2 linked regions of the Mytilus edulis genome follow. The protein of the gene in region 2 interacts with the protein of the main gene of each other region in a pairwise test. Links are inferred from orthologs where the notes say so. Each region holds a gene or a part of one and is shown on either strand. Other genes may lie near its edges.

Region 1 (11,172 bases), on a different chromosome or scaffold from region 2:
GAAATCAAACAAAAGTTTAATTTTGGATCCTTTGGGCCCCTTATTATGTTGGGACCAAAACTCCCAAAATCAAACCCAACCTTTCTTTTATGGTCATAAACCTTGTGTTTAAATTTCATAGATTTCTATTTACTTATACTAACATTATGGTGCGAAAACCAAGAAAAATGCTTATTTGGGTCCCTTTTTGGCCCCTAATTCCTAAACTGTTGGGACCTAAACTCCCAAAATCAATACCAACCTTCCTTTTGTAGTCATTAACATTGTGTTTAAATTTCATTGATTTCTATTTACTTAAACTAATGTTATTGTGCGAAAACCAAGAATAATGCTTATTTGGGCCCTTTTTTGGCCCCTAATTCCTAAACTGTTGAGACCAAAACTCCCAAAATCAATCCCAACCGTTCTTTTGTGGTCATAAACCTTGTGTCAAAATTTCATAGATTTCTATTAACTTAAACTAAAGTTATAGTGCGAAAACCAAGAAAATGCTTATTTGGGCCCTTTTTGGCCCCTAATTCCTAAAATGTTGGGACCAAAACTCCCAAAATCAATACCAACCTTCCTTTTGTGGTCATAAACCTTGTGTTAAAATTTCATAGATTTCCATTCACTTTTACTAAAGTTAGAGTGCGAAAACTAAAAGTATTCGGACGCCGGACGACGACGACGACGCAGACGCCAACGTGATAGCAATATACGACGAAAATTTTTTCAAAATTTGCGGTCGTATAAAAAGGAATGAGTAGTCATAAAGTATTGGTATTATTTTACCCCTTGACTAAATAACTGTTTTCATTAACAGACTGCATAAATTCAATAAATAGTAATAGTTGATGATGGAGATGGATAAGAAAAGAAACACAGAATCACAGCTCACTCAATCATATTAGTAACCATTATGTGTTTAGGTAATAGCCTATATTTTGTGTGCTTCTCAAAGTTAATAAGTTCCTTTCAATTTTTATGTCAAAACATACCTATTGCAACATTCAGTGAAATTTGATCAAACAAGATATTTGCTGCACCAAGCATACTCTAAAAGAATGCTGAATCAAAACTTACCTTTTACGAGAATTTACTGAATACACTAAAACGTAACCATCTACAGAAATATAATAACTCTGAGGTAGAATAGAATATTCATCCTGTAAAAAAGATTATAAAATAATATGAATTATTATGTTCAATCATAGACGGCAAATGATTACTAAATTTCTTTCAGATTTTAATTCCATTCAATAAAAGTATACGTATATACAAAACCAGATGCTCAACAGGGCGCAGCTTTATATGACCGCAGATTGAACCCTTAACGGTTTGGGCAAGTATTGACATAACATTCAAGCTGAATACAGCTCTGAATTTGGATTGTGATTAAATAGTTGACACAGCATAAGTTTCTGACACAGAATGAATGTGGTCTAATGAACTTAATTTTTTTTTTTGCTTTTGAGCAAATAACTATGCTGTTGAAAATTAATCCTCTCAAAGAAAAAACAATTTTGTTATTTTGTTCATGAACTTTTGCAGACATAAATGTATTTATAATTCTTTTACTCTAATCCTATCCAAAAAAATACCAAAAACAACTTTTTCTCAAGGAGAATGTATAATTTTACAGAATCAAAACAGAAAATTAAAGTACAATTGGGCATAACAACAATCTAACTTTGATCAATGCACAGAGTTATCTAATATCACTTTTATAATAATTTTCACTGAATAGAAGCGAGCCTTGTGTAACCAACCTGTCCTGCTGTGTCAACAACTTCTAAGGCATACTCTTGTCCTTTTATCTTTAGATTCTTGTGGAAGGCTATAAAATACAAAACAGGAAACTTTATTATTGTATATTCAGTGCAATTTTGGTTAAATTTATTTGTGATACAGATGTTCCGATTTTAAAATATTTTACCGATAAATGTCCTTCACACAAAACTTGTTAACTTGCGTTTGTGAATTTACATTATTTTTCCTTTTAACAAAGTATTAATTGTTGTAATTAAACTTCAAAAATTGATAAAATCTGATATGCTTTTAAACATTTCATTTAATACTACCCAGGGTTCTCACAAGGATATCTTTAGGGTGAATTCGGGGATTCATCTCTTTTCATCATATTGAACATTTGCTAGTTTGTAAATGATTTACTACAACTATTATAATAATCCTCAATATTCCAGTGGTTAGGTTTGTTAACTGTGATCATTTCACTGATTAAACTTTATTTACACTGATGTAAAGCTCAAGACCAACAGCTGATCCAGATAAGAATTATTTGAGTTACAAATGTAATATTATAAGACCTTACCAAAATCAATTGAGCCTCACTTCTGCAAAAAGAGATGAGCTCTACTCTAGGACTTCAAATAATGTTAGCGAAAACCCTGATTACAATTTGGAATATGAGATTGGAGTTTCATACTTACTGTTTTCTATTGTTGGATCATATGAATCAACAAACTGTTTTTCTATAAACTGAATGGTAACTGATGATTTTCCTACAATATAAAACATAAAACGATAATAAAGACAATAGCCAATAATTACAGCATGGTAAGATTTTATTCTGGTTTACATGTTTCGCCAACAAGCGTAGTGTCTTGAGGACAATATAACATTAGAAATCAAACAGTGAAGTACAAAAAATAATGTTACAATAAAGGTTGTTATGACAAAGTTACAGATATAAATAGAAAGTGAAATAACAGTGTTCTAGCTACAAAGTTTGAACATGGCGCAGCACTGGCCCTTTTTTATTGAAGGCCATGCCTTTTATCTGCTGTTTTCTCAAGGGCCCCGCCGTTTTTAGCACTAAAATCTAGCATTTTCTGCCTTTGAAATGCTGGCAAATTTGTAATTCTTCTATGAACAGAAAGTTCAGTTAGCTGTGTAAACTCTCTAAAAAAGTGCATATCTTCACCTGACAGCTTTGGTGTCAAACACATTGGTAATTAACACCAATTACCTTAGGCTTTAAGTAAATAATAATTTATGTATTTCAAAAATGTTTGACAAACAAATTTGATTTATTTCCTCTTTTATATCACCTTTCACGTTATACTCCTTACATTAATGTTCTTTTTCGTAAAAAAAACCCAAACTTTAATAAATTGAATGCAAATGCATATCAGATACATGTATTACTTTAAGGTTTATGTACCCTTCTGTAGCCATTTTTGTACGAATTTTTCAAACCTCAATTGTATCAAAACTGAAGATATAATAAATAATAGAGATAGGCCATTTAGTACATGTTCCAAGGGGAAACTTGATGCAAAGCAATATTTTTTACTGTTTCATTGCATTTGATAGAAAAAGAGGATTTTGTGGCAAATAAATCAAGATTTTTATAGAAAATCCACAGCCTTTAATACAGAGAATTTTGTTATAAAATTTGAAACATAAATTACTCACTTGATTTTCTATGATGTGCTAGTGTTTATTTTTTACAAAAAGTTCTAAGTAACCTGTAAATTCCAAAACACCTCGTGCTGAGTCACTAAAGTCGAGCGCACCCTAAAAGGTGTACTTGATTTTGGCCATATTTATACTTGTCTTAACCAATAACTACATTTATAAACTTGTTTTAAGGAAATCAATGCTAGCACTGCATGCAATAATCCTATATCTATCAGTCATCACATTGCCAAATATGAGAGTACAAGGATAAAGGCTGTGGATTTTCTATAAAAATCTTGATTTATTTGCCACAAAGTCCTCTTTTTCTATTAAATGCAATGGAACAGTAAAAAATAATGCTTTGCATCAAGTTTCCCCTTGGAATATGTACAAAATGGCCTATCTCTATTATTCATTATATCTGTAGTTTTGATACAATTGAAGTTTGAAAAGTTCGTACAAAAATGACTACAGAAGGGTACATAAACCTTAAAATATTTTTTCACCGGAATTTCTTAATTTTACCTAAAAAATTAACATTTTGAAAATTATTTGTTTCATCTTAATTTTCATTTATAACTGATCTATCAAGTGGATTGAAGGAATACTAGTTATACATTTTATATTGCAGTTTTTATAAGATGAAGTATGAATTCCTAATTGGTGACAAGGTCCTCTAAAACTTCCATAGTCGCCAATTAGGAATAAACACTTCATCTTATCACAGTGGTCTCGCTAGCCCGAAATAGAAGGGCGCCGCGCCCTGGGTGCCCTCAGCCGCGCCCTGGGTGCCTTCATCCGCGCCCTTCTGCCCTGACGTCTTTTTCCAAAATTATCTTGCGCCGTTTTGGTAAAATTTTGTTTCATCGATTTCTGATCTCCAAATTAATTACATATATGACACCTGTGTGATTGCCCCCAGGTTAATCATGTCATTACAATCAATTACAATGATAAAGACTTCAAAGGTGTTAATACAAATGTAACTAGGTAATTTAATTAGGACAATGTATCTTTTTGTCATACTTTTGATGAATGTGTCAACGAGTGTTTAGCTTGGAGTGTGTTTAGCTTGGGTCGGCATTTTCGATCTCTAAGTCACAATGATTATCATACATGTGATGGACTTTGAAACTCAGATCAGGAGATTGGGAAATTTTGGTCAGATTAGGTCTCAGATCAGGAGTTTTTTACCGACATAAATTTTGTTGTAAATGTAAACGTGTGATGTCAAAATTGTCTTTCAAAGTGGTTTTTCTGCAACTTTCCATCTGAATGTAACATGTTTATACAAAATGTAGTACCCTTATACTTTTAAATTTTCTTTATCTTTATTCTATCTAACAACTTTTTTTTCCAGAACATTTGTTAATATCATACTTTTATCTTTTGTTTATGCTTTAATCATTATGAAATTCACTGCAAAATGATTTATTTTGTCATATCATTAATTTTTCCTTTTTAGGTATGTTTATTTTCTATTGAATGTTTCCTTTATAAGCAGCCATTTTAGCAAAAGGGTCCACAAAAACCTTAACCAAAACTTGATTTTACCATAGTTCCTAAGTTATATTCTTATTAATTATGAGGCATAAATAATTGCCCTTTTTCAATGACATTCATGCAAAAATTGCCTTTTTTCTGACTAGCACCTTGCCCTTTTAAAATCCTGGCTAGAACACTAAATAAGAATCTAGTTACATGTAAGTTAAAAGTTAAAGTAAGTCAATAAAGTTATTTATCAATGTCGTTAGCCGCTATTCTCACACGTCTGTGTAGTTGATTTCAGGGAGCTCAAGGTTTCTAGTGGCATTTTTGTAGAAATGATGATAGTGGACCATAAAATGTCAGTTCATTTCTAAATTGGACAACACCCCACTGGCCATCCAGTTACAATACAAATGTACATCTTATTGCTATTTTTCATCCATTACTGGACATCACAAAAGTTCCCATAAAATTTTGACGTAATAAAAGAAAATATCTGAACTCACAATAGAAAAGTGATTAATGTATGTCAAAAGTTTGAGCGGGATAGACTTTTAAATAGCGATAAGGTGTATTCAACTGGCTTCGCTCTGAGGGATGTCATGATGTTCAGCATCAAAGTTCCAGTATAAAACATCAAAAGGCTAACAGGGAGTACTTGCTTCCTTCAGTAATTTGTAAGGTGTTTTACATTTTGTCATATGAAGGTATACCAATTGGGATGTAAGATGAATGGGGTATACGATTTACTATCAAAATATCTGGGCACTGCTACAAATGTACATTTTTTTAGATTCAACGAAAAGAAAATTTATATGATACAGAGAAACCAACCAACAGATCTGAAGCCCATTAAAGCTATTCTTTTTTGTTTTGCTGCCATTTCTGTTGATCACAACATATAAAAGGACAAGGTCTGTTTTTTGTGAATGTAAACACGTTTGTTTTTGTTTTCAAACCATGTCAATGTCGCATTGCAAAATTATATTGACTTCCGGTTCTTATTGTTTTTCCGAGTTACGTCCCCTTGATAAGTGAAAAGGACAAGTCGCCCTATTCTCGACTCGACCTTTTCTTTGTCAAACACAGAAGGTTCGAATCATATATGAATAACGTAACGATCTTGCAACTTGACATCGATATATTATATCACTAAGTTTTTACGTACTCCCTGATTCAGTATTTTCAAAGAAATAAATTCTTCTCAAGTTTTGTAATTTATTTGGGATGCAAAAGTGTTGTCACAGGGACTTTCTATACTGACTAACAGAAAGTCCCTGGTTAACCGAATCAGATTTTGTATGAAATCGCTTTATTGGAAAATGTGTGCATGATCAACTCTTTAAAATACCATCATAGTAAAATAACAAAGAGAAGCCGTGATTCATTTTTACAATTACATGTTTATGCTAACATGCCTGCCTACCTCAAAAGTAATGTTCGCCCCTTTGCAGATGACATCATTGTGTTTTTAACAATATCATCACATGCTCATTGCAAAACCCTTAAATCATCCACGTAACAAGAAAGCAATCATCTTTACATACACACTACATGATCACTTATTAAAAGCAACAGACAATGCTAAGAAACGACAATTTAACTTAAAAAAAGGGGGCAGGGTATGGATCCCCAGTTTGATGAAAAAATATTGTGGTCAAGCAGATGACAAAAACAAATGTCTGAATCCAGATTCTCCCCATTCCTTATAGTGTTAAATGTAAAAAAAAATCCCGACAAAACCCAATCCCCTTTTGAAGCTAAATGGTTGCTCCCTAAAACTCATTATTCACGTGGAATTTACGTGAAAATTTTCATGTAGGATTCACGCCGGTATAAGGTCGTCTAGGGTAGATTTCACTTTGATTCCACTTGTAGCTGGAAAATCTCCCCGTATATAAAAGAATGTTGTTGTTTTTTTATTTTAGGATACAAATACTATTAATTGGTATCGAGAAAAATGAATATAAAAAAATCAATTTCTATTTTTCATTCTATATGTGCATAATAAAAAACGATTGAGGAAAACTTGGAAGAATTTGTATGAAATCAAAAGACGCATGTCATTAGATATCTGAAATGAAATTTTATACGTGAACTATACAAGATACTGAAAATAGTATTTTTCATGAATTTGATTTAATTTAAAAACTTAGATGTTAATTGAATAACTTTATATTGAAAATTCACGTGCATTTCAAGTGTAAAAAATTCACGTGAGTGAATTTCAGGTTAAACATACATGAAAAGTGAGTTCCACGTAGTATACTATATAAAAAACGAAGATGTGGTTTGATTGCCAATGTGACAACTCTCCACAAGTGACCAAATGACCAACTGACACTGAAATTAACAACTATATGTCACCGTACGGCCTTCAATAATGAGCAAATCACCATACAATATATTCAGCTATAAAAGGCACTGAAATTACAAGTGTAAAACAATTCAAACGAGAAAACTAACGGCCTAATTTATGTACAAAAATATGAAATAAAAACAAATATGTAACACATCAACAAACGACAACCACTGAATTACAAGCTCGTTTGAGGTGAAATTCACTTGAGTGAAATATCCCGGTATACAAGATTGTTTTCTGCTAGTGCAATTGAGAAACAGTTATTTAGCCTAATGATTTGCCCATTAGTTAATAATAACTAATATGAATCATATAGTACTGTCACAACTTAAGGTTACAAATGATGTACTACAAATACCTGACCACAAACTTATCATTTTATAAATAATTGTATGATCTATTACTACATTTACTATTATATATGTGGCATGTGGTACCAGTATGGAATCAGTCATTTGTAAACATTGACATTCAAAATGACAACAAATATATCTTAGGTTATGTACTTGTTTAACCTATAAATGTCTGACCAGTGCATTAACATATAAATTTGAATCTTGTCTGTTATGATATATGACATCAGTTGTTTAAAAGTATATGTGTATGAGTCTCTCAAGAAAAATATCAATAAGTTTAATAGGTACCATAATTGATGATACTGCACAGAAACAAGAAAATATTGGTAAAGTTTATCCAAATGAAATTATACAATCACTGCCCAGTCAGCAGACTAACAGTGGGCCAACGTTGGCAAATGGTCGGCCCGTTGGTCGACCGTTGGTGTTGGCTTCACAACATTGGCCCAACGTTGGCAAATTGTCGGTCCGTTGGTCGCAAGTTTATGTTGGCTGCACAACATTGGCCCAACGATGGCAAATTGTCGGTCCGTTGGTCGCAAGTTTATGTTGGCTGCACAACATTGGCCCAACGTTGGCAAATTGTCGGTACATTGGTCGCACGTTGGTGTCGGCTGCACAACATTGGCCCAACGTTGGTCTGTTGTTGTAAATTCATATTATTATCTCATGTTGGTTATAAATAATCGGGCAAATGTTGGCATTATGTTAGTAGCAACATAGGGCCGATATGAAATTTTGTTAATAGAATTGATTATATAATATTTTGCGCTTTATTTCTCTTGGGAGGCGGATAATTTCGATTGCAGCAAGCTTTATGAAAAGTTAATGTTATACCGAAAGTGTTTATCAACTGAAATTACATTTACAACTCTATGCTGGGCCAATACTGGCCCAACGTTGCGTGATCATATATTATACTCTATATATAATTAAGTCAGGTAAAATTTATACTGGAATATCATTACTGTAATAAAAAAAATGTATATCGTAAACATAGATTGCCTGGTTAAAAATTAAAATTTATTGCAATCATTATTTATAATAACTTTATTCATTAAACTTTGTGAAACAAAATAATAGCAATTATATGCAGAGTGATATTTGATACAGCCAGTCTGTTAATCAAGCCCATTCTGATAAGGTTTGAACATATGTTCGACAAATTTCAAAGATAGTTGCTATGGTAATTAAGTTTATAGGAAATCTGAATGTAATGGGATGGTCACTTTTGTGATTATTTCCTGTTGTGTATTTGTAAGAAAGCAGTGATACGAAGAAAACAAAAAGAGAAAATCATGTCATCTGAGATTCAACGAGAAAGATAGTAACATGTAAGTTGTAACTTTAAAAAATCTGATATATATATATATACGATTACACGGCCGACACTCGGCTAACCGAGAGATAGTCGGTTAATCTATATTGAGTATGCGGCTATATCGGCGGTTGGTCTGTTAATCGGGTTGGTTATACGTCTGTTAAGAGTAAAACGCACAATTTTAATATTAAAATCTATTTAATATACAGATTTTAGGTACATTATAAGAATCAAATCAAAAAAAGAAAAGTGTCTGACAAAATGATATATATCATAGAACAGTTTCCAACTGTAAAAACATTTCATAGTCTGCGCAGTTTTCAGTAAAACTAAAAGGCGTCGCGCAAGTATGTAGTATTTATGCTTATACGCATAGCAATTTTTGTAATGAAAGGCGAAAAAAACAATTTTAGATATCATTTAAAGGACACAAAATCGTACTTTGGTTCTAAAATATAAATTGAAATTAGTAAATATTTCATAATTGTAATATAACGTCAGTAATACCACGTTTTAGTGAACATTATGGGAATAAAGTCTGTTAATGGGTTGGACAATTGAAATTGTGTCAGTTAAGAGTTATTTAGTCACGACAATAGTTGTGCTACCTTTATATTTTCCCTTTGAAAAAGTTAAGAATGAGATGCTCTTGAGTAAAAAAAAAATGACAATACGCTGCAACAGTATCCTTCTAGTAAGAACATTTTTATTTTGACTTCCTTTGCATTTTATAAAGGAGTGTGTCACTTCAATATATGGATATGGATTGCCTGCTGGAATATGCATGAATCTATTATTAACGTTTTCTTCAGCCTTTATTTGTGTGTCTGTTCAAAGTAGCACGTTCTCAAATCCGTCCGAAAGTGTCTTTCTAATACAACACAGGGTACATATAACGTGTTGTCGTTCTCATATGCACATGATATTTGTCACTGGACGTTAAACTCTAAATCGTCAACATCATTCGATTGGTTCTTTTCTTCTATTACTGAATCATCTGTTGTTTACAAATCAGTCTAAAGAAGTAAATGGAAAGGAGCGAATGCAGCTACATTTGGTTATCTTAAGTTTTAATTCATTTTATTCCGTTTAGTTCCTTTCTACATAAGTGCAGAGGAGAACTGCAGTTGTCCGCATGTAAACTTTTAGCATTTATTACCAATATGAGTACATAGCAATCCGTTACTGTTTCAACACCAAGGGAAGTTTCATGTCATTAATCTCAAACAGTTATTATTTTTTTTATCTTTTTTTATTAATGCATCACTTCCTACTGTCCTTATCTATTATTCTATATATTCTGTGTTTCCATCCAGATTCTCGTGTATACAATGAGGGTCCGGATTGGGGGTGTTGTTTATTTCTATATTCTTTAAATTGTCTGTTACTTTTCTCTACATTTTATTTTATCTTACTCATTATTATTTCTTTATTCTTTATATATTCTAGCATCCCAATATATTTTAATTACTGATGTTTAGTTACATTACGACGTTTATCTCTGATTTATATACTGGTTAATACCAATTTAGATACAAATTAGTGTCATTCATGACAACCTAAACAGAATCCGCATGATATATGCGAACATTCTTGGATGAAATCAATATGTATAGATTATAACATGCCCTTTTCTATATTAGCCCTGGTATCATCCCGAGACTCCCATATCGGCCTCGAGGCTTTAGCCGAGGGCCGATATGGATTGAGGGATGATACCAGGGCAAATATGGAAAAACATGTTATAATCTTTAAAGCTATTTATCACATATTTAAGTGTTGCAGAAAAGAGGGGAAAAAGTTCAATTATAACAATTTAATGAAACATAACAGGTAAATCTTAAAAATGTATCCGTATCCATAACAAATATGTGATAAGATATAAATAACACATAGCTGAGAGGGTGATAGAGCAAATTGGGTCCCGAGAAAACATTGTCAACCGCGGCGAAGCCAAGGTTGACAATGTTTTTTCGAGGGATACCGATCTGCTCTAGCACCCTCTCAGCTATGTGATATTTGATTTATTATAATGAATGTCTTATCATCATTTTCTTTAACAGATGAGTTTTATTATAAAGTATTTTCTATGTAGTCACGTACTTGACAGCGTAACGGGTATTTGAAAAATCATCAGAAGTGAAGTAAATAGACAATAGTAGTGCATTGACTTGACATATAAACGATACAAGGATTAGGCCCGAAACGGGAAAAAAGCTCTGCTATCAAGAAAAAAAATA
Region 2 (11,555 bases):
GTCGCTATCCAACGCAACCGCGTCGCTATATTTTTTTTCGTATTTTTCAAAATTTTCAAATTTCCCGCTTATTTTTCACTTCGGATCACGTGATCGACTGGTTTACAATTTTCGAATGAATTATTTCCGTTGTGTTAAAGTAACTCCGCGGTACCAGTCTAATAAATTTTACAAAATGGCGTTTTTGACAGATCAAAATAAACAAAGATTTCAACATTGACATCTATTTTTATAATTTAAAGAAAATATAGAGGCATATATGAATGAAATGAGATGAAATGAATTGGTCGCATTTGCCGACGTCACTCACAAACTTGTTTTACGAACTTTGAACAAACGATGATTTTAAAAACGATCAAACACAGGGGTTTGTTCCAAATTATTTGCCGGGTTTACTATCCATACAAACCCCGAAAATGAGCAAGTCTGTTAGGTTTTAGTTATTTCCTATTTGAACTTATAATTTTTTTGTCAGAAATTCTACCATTTGATAACAATTTTGAGAGGATATGATTAGAAAAACAAACCCCAAGCTGATACGACTTGAGAAATTTACTTTCTCGATGTCCAGCTTGGATGAAGCCATTTAAATATTATAAAACGTTTGGGTCATAAAAATGAGAAATGTAAATTCCTGTCAAACGTCGTAAGGTTGACAGTACACTGCTACAGTTGGTTACAAAACCAAACAGAAACTGATAATGACTTTATTGTTAGTCCTACATGTTCTGCAACATTACCTGATGGTGCTAAGAAATCTTGGCACAGGCAGTCTGGTGTAGATCCATCTTCAGTTGTATACATAGATAGTATGAGGATTTAATATATGAAATTACAAGGCCATGGAGAAAAAAAACCTCTTCTTCTATATATCCAGACAATAACACGTCGTTAACAAACAAAGCCTCATTAATGGGTACACTGTAACTTCCATGAGCATGACAAGGACATCATAACAAGAGGAAAAATCAACAGCATGATATAATAAAAACACATAACAAATAAATTACAAACAAACTGCGTGCCGCGATAAAGTTACTGAGAATCGTCGAAAATTACGCGCTTACCACAGCGCTATCCAAAAATCCTGGGGAGAACACTGACCATGGCAGCCATCTTGATTGGTTGATTGGGTCACACCACCCATTTTTCTAACTAAATACCCTAATAATGATAGTGGCTAAGTTCGGAAAATCAGATGACAAAAATCTGAATTTCATTATATAAAATTAAATTCACAATCCTCAAAAATTGATCCTATGAAATAGAAATGAAGAACAAAAGTTCTAGGGTTGGAGGGCAACTAGGACCACACATATACTTTTATTTGGCCTTTAATATATATTACTACATGTAAATATACCTTGGAAAAATTGCCAATTTTTGAAGTTTTCTAAAACTTTTTTTACACCTGTGGCTGCTCGCTTTTTGAATTCATCTGCAGCTTCTTTGCCTTTTTCTTCTTCAATTTTAGCTAATAATCTGAAATATCAAAAATATATTTTTTGAAGGATTCAATCATTAAAAACTTAAGTTTAGAAATCTTGATGATCAAATGCAGCATTTGATTGTATTATAACTGTATAGCCATTTAATTTTCTGTCTCTAAAATGCATGCACAATTTATCTTTACATATACAAATGGTACAAACATGTGATCAATATATATAATTTTACAATATAAAAGACAAATTAGAAAGTGTTCAATAATCATGTGTGCATTATATATCTTTCAACTATTTGAATGATCAATTTCAGCTACTTTCTTTATACTTTCTACAGAAATCTGTGAATTGATCAGACATTTGTAGGCCTTATGGATTCTGAATGTTGGTTTCCCCAAATACAAAAAAAAAGAAGTTCTACAGCAAGGACCTGGAAAGTTTATCAATGATACTCCATATCAACACAGAAGTGCAGACTACTGGGCTGGTGAAAAGTGCACTTATAGAATCCTGAATTTTAATTCATATTCAAGGACATTAAATAGTGTAAATAGAAAATCTTTCGATACTGAAATGATGCAATGAAAAAAACTGCCTAGAAATTAAAATGTTTTAGGAATCATAAATTATAAACAGAAGTGGTCGTATGGAGATTTGTTGAACCTGCATGACAAAATTTGACATACACTTTAATATATTCTTTGATAAATGTCTGGAAACCTTTCTTGTCAAAACTGGTTTCTTGAAGTTTGTGACTGTAAATTACATTAATTTTGGTTTCTACTAAGTCTTCTTGGCCTTCTGCTGCCTCCTCTGCTGAAGCGTTGGCTCCAATTGCAGATTCATCAATTTTATTGCTGATAGAAATATTCTACAAAAGATAAAAGTATATTGTAGTTTGTCAAATACATCGTAACATGTTAGATTATATTTTTAATTTCTACCATACATTTTAAGCAAACAGATTAATAAATATTATCTCTTCAAACATGAATGAAAGCCTGAAGATTGTGAATTCTATTCATAGAAAACAAGATAACCTGTTTAGTTCTTTTGCTGGTATTTCCTCCCTCATTTCGATTGTTTTATGCTGGACATCTCACACATAATGACGTTGTTGAAAACTCTTCTGCAGACATTGTAATTCACTTATATTGGTTGCTTACACATAAAAAGCCTTGGTACAAGAATAACATCACACCTCAAAGCCTTGGTACTAGAATAACAAAGCAATTGAGCAGGGTGATATAGATGAAGAGAAGGATGATAATGTAAATAATAATTACCTTTCCCTCAATTTCATAGAAGAAGTCTTCTTTCACAATCATTGGTTCAAAAGCATCACTGAACAATTCATCTCCTGAAAAAAAGTAATACAATAATATATTTTCTCAAGTAATTTTGAAGAAACAAATTTTAAATCATATTTTCACACTAAACATCTTTAACCAGTGTTCTCCCCAGGAATTTTCTAAGGCGCAAAATTCAAGGGCGTGTAACTCTTTTTTATAGTGAACTTTTGTGATCTGAATCAATCAATCAGTCATAAATCATGACATGCAATATGAGTTATAATCTTTTGTGTTGTGTGTTTAATAATGCAAAGTATTAATGAATTACAAGAATATATGAAATAAATTGATTTAAACACAAAAGTTATTTATATTCAGTCCATTAAAGATGTCAAAATAAAAATATTCATCTCTGTACTCCCTACTCCTAGGGATATTGTTTCAAGATAATGCTATTTTGTTGGACAGTCTGTTCCTCAACTTTGTCTTTATCCTCTTTAGGGGTTCAAAACCCCCTCTCACAATAACTTTTGCTGATACCCCCTTTAACATTTCTAAGCCATGAAAACTCAGTCAGCCACTTGTCACTGAAACCAAGAACATGGTGCTTGCTTTTATCACTTGCTAAAACTTTAGCTTGGTTGGGATTAGGGGAAGCAATAATATCCGCGTATACTGACAGCTGAGTGTAGACGGATCGGAGGTGTATTTCCCTGTTCATTAGAAGTCATTGGTCTGAAAAAATACTTCTACTTTCATCATCTGCCTTTTGCTTAGAATTCACCCCTTTGTTATTTGCAGAGAGCATGTTCATTCAGAATTAATAAAATCGAATATGGTTAAGATATTTGGTATACAACTTTTTAAAACAAAAATATTTTAATGAACAGCTGACCATTTTCTGTAGTTTGACATTTATTTACGCTTCCGTGTGCATTATTGTTAAAACCTATCTTTGGCAAGTATATATCAACGAAACTTCGTTAAAGTTAAGACCATTCAAAGTATTTACTGGTGACATTATACAGAATTAAGCTGCGACGATTCCGTACCCGTGTTGATTGTCACATATTTCCCGCACGGATTCACGATTGATGTTCAAAGATCATTTTATTTCTAAAAAAAATATGACAGTTTGAGACCAATTTACCTTGCAAGCAACAATTTTCACTTTCAATTTTAAAGCTGAGATTAGCGATTTCTGCATTTTGACTTTCATTTTCAAAGATTATCACGTGACCATGAGAAAACAGTGCAAATGACCATATTGTAACACCTCGTTCATTTACGATGCAAGTTATCTAAATGTCCGAGAGCTTCCGATTGTTATCGTGGTCGGAACTAAATGCTTAATACCGATCTCCTGTAAAGGAGGTGAAAAATCGTGGTTGGCTTCTAAATGTTAAACATTGATCTCCTACAAAGGAGGTGAAAAAATATAAATATTTGCATATTTGAGTCTCGAGGCCACGAACTCTCTCGTAACTTGACGTCCATTTGAAAGTGAAAGTCAAAATGCAGAAATCGATGGGTCTCTGTGAAAACTGTTTAAATATGGAAAAATAAAGGTGGGCAGGTAGGTGAAACTTACATAAATGAAGAGATAAATGAAAAATGAACAGATTGATGCCCAATTTATATAATTTCAAGGCCCTCAATCAGAAATAGAAGCGACGAAGCAGCGCATCTATTTTGGGTGGGCAAATATCCACTTTTTGATATGGGACGAGCTCTGACGTCCCACGGCCCCAGCTTGTCTGGCAAAACAGCCGTTGGACGTCAGAGTAATCTCGGACTTATAATCTGTATCTGTATTTCCCACTTATGAATATGGATGGGTACGTCACAGATTCCTTTCGCCGTTCGGTTATAATAATTTGTTCAAAGTAGAATTGTAACAGTCTAGTTGACCATTGTTTACAGTCGATCTCTACAGTGATTTCTGTGTTGTTATCTACATTAGCTTTACAACAAATCATTGAATGAAAGTCACCAGTTTTTTCAGCCAGATCCAAACTGGGATAGTAAAGGGAGTGTTTGAAATAGCTTTACAAACCAGCTGACTAATACACTCATATAAAAGATTCTGTTTTCTACTTTGATCGTAAAATTCAGCTAATCAAAATGGCAAAAAATATCAAAAAGTGTATAATTTATTAATTTACCTGATATTTTACACCTGTAAATAATCATTTTGGCTGATGTTGGTAGATTATTTTCTGTTATAAACAGAAGTGTTGCGACACCGGCTGTCAGAACTGGTAAAAGGACCACTTCCGGTTTTGTTTGTCATCAAAACGTTTTAAACAAAGAAGCTTTCTAAAGTGACAGTTCTTCCAATGTGGACTAACTCGTCCCCGAGACAAGTCGTACCGCTTCAAATTGGACCGACTATTAAGTCATAATAGACCGTCTAGGAAGACAACTCGGACCGTCAAATTCATCCAGGAGTAGACATTTTCTGAAGACCGATGATTGGTTTGATAGAGCAGCACATGTTTGCAATGTGAATGTCCTTAATCAGATATTTCCAGCTGGAAAATAACGTGAGGTTCAATTTGTCTCATCTCATGCAGACTTTGTGCCTTTAATATACAAATAGAGATGACTGGTCAAAACTATGCCAACAATTATATATCGTCCCAAATATTTCTTAACTGTTAATTTTCATGGTTAAATACAGGATTTTAGGTCATATATACATGTCATATATAAGAAATCAGAAGCCAATTATTTCTTTCCGCTTTTATGAAGTCGGTGGGGAATAGTAATTAATTTAAATACCGTTTTAACTTTAAAAATGTTGTTTTGCCAAACGAAATAGCATCTATTTAACAAATCTAAAACTTCCACAAGGTACCGTGAAAATTATGCACAAAAATGACATATATCAATAAGACAGTTTCTACCATAAAATGAAGCACATAGAAATATCTAGTGAGATTTGAAATAACACATATGGCGGTGTTTTGCTTTATTACAGCAATAAAGTTGAAAACTAGAAATGGGTTTCCAGAGGGGAAAAAATGGACGCCTTAAAGATGAAAATTCGCTGCCTTATTATCCAACCAAAACTTTGTTGGCAATTACATGTATAGTCCTTTTCAAAAAAAGCTGGAAAGAAATGGGTACATCATAAATTTTTCACTCCCCCCCCCCGACCCCCCCCCCCACCCCATTTTTCTTCTTTTAACATGTTTAATTTAGTATTGGCGAAAGACGAGATTGATGTCGGATGGGGTCTTCAACTGTAATCTAAAGAGGATTTCAAATGTATATTTTTAACTGTAAGTTCAGAACCAATTAGTCGTTCAAGTGGTTTTCGAGATCCTTTAATAGAATATTTTGTAAAATATTCTATGCTAGTACCAGTCGGCAAAGCATGAACATGTTTATTCATAAAAACATTTCATTCTGAAAAGAAATTGATCCTTATAAAAGAAAAATCTCGTTTTTTTTGCCCATGCATTTATTTCCCATAGAAACGTAGAATATATTAGAAATCAGATAACATGCTTAACCCCGCCAATGCTGATTCAATGTTTATATGTGCCTGTTCCGAGTAATCTAATATAACCATATCGAGATAACCTCAGAAGACCGCCGACGGTCATATAACCAAATATAAACATACATTTAAACATTAACTGATATAAAGCGTCCTTGTGCAATTAGATTTTTCTAGATGTGTTTGATATCACATTGTATCTTAAAAGGTATGTTTATCATCGTTTTACCATTATGCAAATTTTTTTGTTGATCGAATATAAGTCACCCAAATGGTTCATCCTGATTTCACTTTACATTTGACATTATTTTCCTTTTAATAGCTCAATACATGTGTAACCTATATCCAGCTAAGGCCAGGGGTTGATACACATGTTCGACGGTCCGTCTGTCCCACTTCAGGTTAAAGTTTTTGGTGAAGTTGAAGTCCAATCAACTTGAAACTTATTACACATGTACCCTATGATATGATCTTTCTAATCTTAATGCCAAATTAGAGCATAACTTCACGGTCCACTGAACACAGAAAATGATAGTGCGAGTGGGGCATCCGTGTACTATGGACATTTGTTGGGGTTTTTTTTTTTTTTTTTTTATCTTATTTTGACAAAATTGACCAAATCGGCTACTAAACGCGAATTGTTATTTCACTATATCACTTTCATTAATAGTTGATAAAAAAAAATCATAATCAAAATGCAATACTGCGTTTTATCTCATAGCTAATGCCCCTTTAATATTAAAATGGCTCGTGAGTAATCATAAAGTTTACGATAAACAGGACGATTTTTTTCATTCCTATTGTTTATTTTCCTTTTCTTAATGTTGATCTTCAGTTGGCTTCAAGATTACTGAATTTACATTATCAATTTTTGTCGATGTATGCGTTTTTTTAAGTAACCAAAACAACAGGTGTAATATCCACCTTTTTGTATACTAAAAGTCCGGAAATGCCTGCATACAAAGTCAGACATATGGCAGTTGTTTTCCATTTGATCAATGTGTTTGAGCTTTTGATTTTACCATTTAGTAAGATCATTTTCATTGGAGTTTGGTATTTTTGTTATTTTACTTTTGCAGTGACATCAGAGGCGGATTTAGGGGGAGGGCAGGGTGCCCGGCCCCCCTTTTTGAGAAAAAAATTGGTTGCTTATATAAGGAATCACTGAAGCGTGACTGGAGCGGGTCCCCTCTTAGGTCAGTCAGTGGGTCCCCACTTATGAAAATTTCTGGATCCGCCACTGGACATCGCAGCTTTCAACGAACCTTATATTTTCAATACTGAAAATTTATATATAACAAAATTTTATCACAAATGTAGTCCGCTATTATAATGTGGAAGTGTGATTTTACCTTCAGGAATTTGAAATTAATAAAAGCAATTTTATAAACGATTAACAAGTTTAAGAAATATCCATCAAATATTTGTCTTTGGTGTTATAGACTTTAATGATTAAATGTGTATACTGCTATTGTTGTACAATCATCGTACGTGATATTATGTAGACTGTATGTTGTTCTATATATTTTTGTTTTTGTTGTTGGCGTCATTGGGTTGCTGTCTTATTTAAGTATACTTCACATGTCATTTCATTCGTGTACGCTTTGTTTGTTTCTATAATTAGTCAATGAGTGACATATTGAAGTTAAGAAGTATTATGTAGATGTAGATGTAGATGTGACATAGTCGCTATTTTAAGACGGACGACAGACAAATGAAATTCAAATTAGGTCAAATACTTTTCCTTGAATCAAGAGGGGGGCAAGGGGGTCCCAATAACAGCAAAACAGCAAATTGATTTGGCTTATAACAGATAACAAAGAATTAAAATGGACAAAAACAGATAACAGTAAATGAAATATTAAAATAAGTCGGGTCCTTGACAAATCCAGTATTTCTTATTACGGGTATAATCCTTTGTAATGAATTCCATTTTCTATGAACATGCCTTTTCGATTTTTTTTTTATTTCCGATTTAATGTTATTCAGTTAAGGGGTTTATTCATTAAAAAAGATGGTATTTTCCAGTTTTCGGACAATAACTCAAAAATGTTCTCTGCAGTTCTCATGAAACTTTGATGTATTGTTTATATACATGATATATATTGACTGATTTTTATAAATATCTGATATGACATTGAGAAGTTATCGAATATTTCCAAAAGGTGACGGGCGTATAATGCACTCATGGCGTAGCTGTTTATTTGTTATGGAATACTTTTTTCAGCATTTATTTTTGTACAAATATCGAAACTCACACATGTTTGTAATTTAAATAATGTGTAATAAAATTGAGATTGGAAATGAGGAATATGTCAAAGAGACAAAAATTATATCTAGTAAAAATTCAAGGGCAGTTATGGTATCAAAGTAGGTCCAATTGACATAGTTCTTGTGTTTGTTGCAATTAAAAAATGACCTAAAAGAGTTTGAATATATATATTCGCATTCTGACTTTTTTTAAATGCCCATTTAATGAGGTGTGTGAATTTTTCTGAATAAGACTATGAGGCAAAGTTGTATATAGGGTAGAAAAATCAAAAGCACCAATTACTAGTATAAGCATGCAATTTATTAAGTAGGACCAATTTTGACACTCCAAAAGTAATTTATTCCACTATTTTCAAAGGCCTTATTTGAACAAATTGTTATCAGGTTTTGATTGTATACCAAGTCTACTAGTAAGTAGAATACATATATATAGTTTAATAGGTGAACTATGGCTTGAAGTTGAAATAAATCTTTAATTGTAATGAGTTACGTGTAGCTTCGGAACCCTGTACATGGTGGGAACTTTCATTGTACAATGTATTTGGTTCTGCTTTGAAAAGAGCTGATTCTATGTACCATATAATATAAAAGCTTTTACGAAGGATAATCATAAGATATAATGGAATTGTCCTGGACCTCACTTTTGTGATGGGTATATGTTAATGGAATCCTTCTCCGAATACGGGACCAACATATTAGTTAGTGGTAGACTCCAATGTTCAATGATCTTCAATTTCTACCGAATTTTGGCTGTCCCAAAAATGTTAACATCCCAATTTTCAATAACAGCTAACAGCAAATACATTATCACAATAACAGATAACAAAATAACTAAAAAACCCAATAACAGCTAACAAAGAATGAGACAATAACAGCTAACAAAGAATGAGACAATAACAGCTAACAGCAAATATATTTTCAGAATAACAGATAACAAAGAATTAAAATGCCCCATAACAGCATAACAGCTAAACCCCTCGCCCCCCCTCAATCAAGTGAGAAAACGACCATAAGACAAACAATGGTATACAAAACCAAATATATAAAACTAGACACTGAACAACATTAACTCCAACAGAAATTGGCGGTGATCTCATGTCCTCCGAAGGTGTGAGTAGAAATCCTATTCCACATGTGGCACCCATCGTGTTGCCTATGTTAGTACAAACCTGGTAATAAGTCTAATTCAGTAAAATGACGATATTGTGGAACCTTACGGTAGCTGTAATATCTCCATTTTCATCTATGATACAGAAATTTAATAACTGTCAACTAAATCGTGATGGCGTACGTAAAATTTACGAAGGGATGATTTCAACTTCACCACTTTGGATCTTTTCGTTTGCCATCTTCATTGTGAGCAGCAACCATCTAATGATCATGATAAAGGAAACGCAAGCCTTAGAATATAGATATAAACTGGGAGATTCTAATTACATATACTCCATATGCAGGCGCTGCCGGAATGTTGGTATACATAATATAAATGGAAAGTTCAAAATTGGGAAGTTTTGTTCACATGACTGTATGCTACCAAGTTAAACCAAATGAAATGCAATTAAGTCCAATTGATTCAGGAGTAACTACATGATTACATTGTAATTGTGCAAATGAACATTTCCTAATAGGCTTCTTTAGAAGACCTCCTCAAATTAATTCGTTTTCAACTTTAAAACCAAAGTCTGCAAACTTTAACTTAATAACAATTAATGACAAAGGGCTACATGATCCTTTACTATAGTTTTGAAAACATTTGATTTACGATTTCCGAGAGATGTTACGAACAAATTCATAAGGGCCTAAGGCATAGAAAGAAGAAAGAAAACATATAATAAGAAACGGATCAAATTAAAACAATAAGTCTACCAACTTAATGATCTTTGTCCTATTTATTAATTCAAAAGAGTTAAAACTCAAGTTTCGATGTAGGTATACTCTTCTTAACCAATCAGATTGCTTGCGAGTGGATCTAGAATACCATACGAGTCTTGAAATGACGTTAAAGTGGAAACTGATGGCACATATTTACGACGGCGGGGAGACATCTTATACATTACAGGCCATGATACTCCGAAAAGATCTTTTCTGAATGAAACCCGTCTTCCTGTGCCAAACAATCCACTCCTGAACGAAAACAAACTCCTTAAAGACCGCTTGTATCTACCATGCTTAGACGAAGGTGGACGTTTGTCGTTTGACTGTATATGATAAATATCTTCCGATTGTTGAGTTGCAGCATTTACCATAGTTATCACATCCGCAGAAACAATTTTATGTGTAGTTTCTCCAGATTCTAGTCTTTCTGTAGCTGTCAAATTCTGTGAGTTGGGCGTGTTGCCTTTTTCATCAGTCATTGTTATTTTGATCCCTTTGCTTTTTGAATTTCCAACTAATTTTAAACTCTTAAGTTGCTCAGAAATAAGATATCGCATCATCCTTAACTTGATACCATTTGAAAACATTTCATCATATACGAAAGACTTGTATAATTCATGAAAATTGGAAGCCTGAATTCCAATACCATCAATGTTTGCTAAGGCACTTCTGGTAATCAACTTGCCATTGATCGTATTCTTTGACTTTGCATTTGCCCTGCAATTAAAAATTTTACGTACATATATATATATATGGAGTTTATGTAAAAAAAAAAGGCAACGCATAATTAAAACATAGAAGGAAATATCTAAAAAAAATAATATTATAAGATATATTTATTTTATTACACGATGATGCTCAGATCCAACTTTGAGAGGTAAAATAACATAACAAGACCGACATTCTTAATTGTTTGGTACTTTGTAGAGAAGTGGCAACTACTATTATAAATAATTTCCAAGTATTTGGTTTCAGCCGGAGAGAGATTTAACAGCTCGGCTATATTCTTGAGTACAACTCGGAATTTATGATTGATGTAAAACAACTTTAATCAGGAATGAATAAGATAAGATAAGATAAGATATTTTTATTTCAATTAAAGGGCCCATGAAGAGCAAAGCAATCTATCACAATGATTTTTATAATTGTTACAATTATGTTGAC

The links. The genes of interacting proteins can lie anywhere in the genome.
Region 1: the proteins of translationally-controlled tumor protein homolog (region 2) and GTP-binding protein Rheb-like interact in binary tests that used the Drosophila melanogaster proteins (3 or more experiments, as listed by UniProt). The link is inferred for Mytilus edulis from reciprocal best matches to the Drosophila melanogaster genes Tctp and Rheb.

The regions. Positions count from the first base shown.
Region 1 is NC_092345.1:73,199,923-73,211,094, forward strand, and holds the start of GTP-binding protein Rheb-like, read right to left. Parts: upstream 5,912-11,172; 5' UTR 5,777-5,911; coding exon 5,728-5,776; intron 2,505-5,727; coding exon 2,433-2,504; intron 1,820-2,432; coding exon 1,752-1,819; intron 1,149-1,751; coding exon 1,066-1,148; intron 1-1,065. UniProt on the Drosophila melanogaster protein: Binds GTP and exhibits intrinsic GTPase activity. Activates the protein kinase activity of TORC1, and thereby plays a role in the regulation of apoptosis. Stimulates the phosphorylation of S6K through activation of TORC1 signaling.
Region 2 is NC_092346.1:46,577,289-46,588,843, reverse strand, and holds the start of translationally-controlled tumor protein homolog, read right to left. Parts: upstream 5,057-11,555; 5' UTR 4,931-5,056; coding exon 4,903-4,930; intron 2,806-4,902; coding exon 2,732-2,805; intron 2,317-2,731; coding exon 2,132-2,316; intron 1,483-2,131; coding exon 1,364-1,482; intron 1-1,363. UniProt on the Drosophila melanogaster protein: Involved in calcium binding and microtubule stabilization.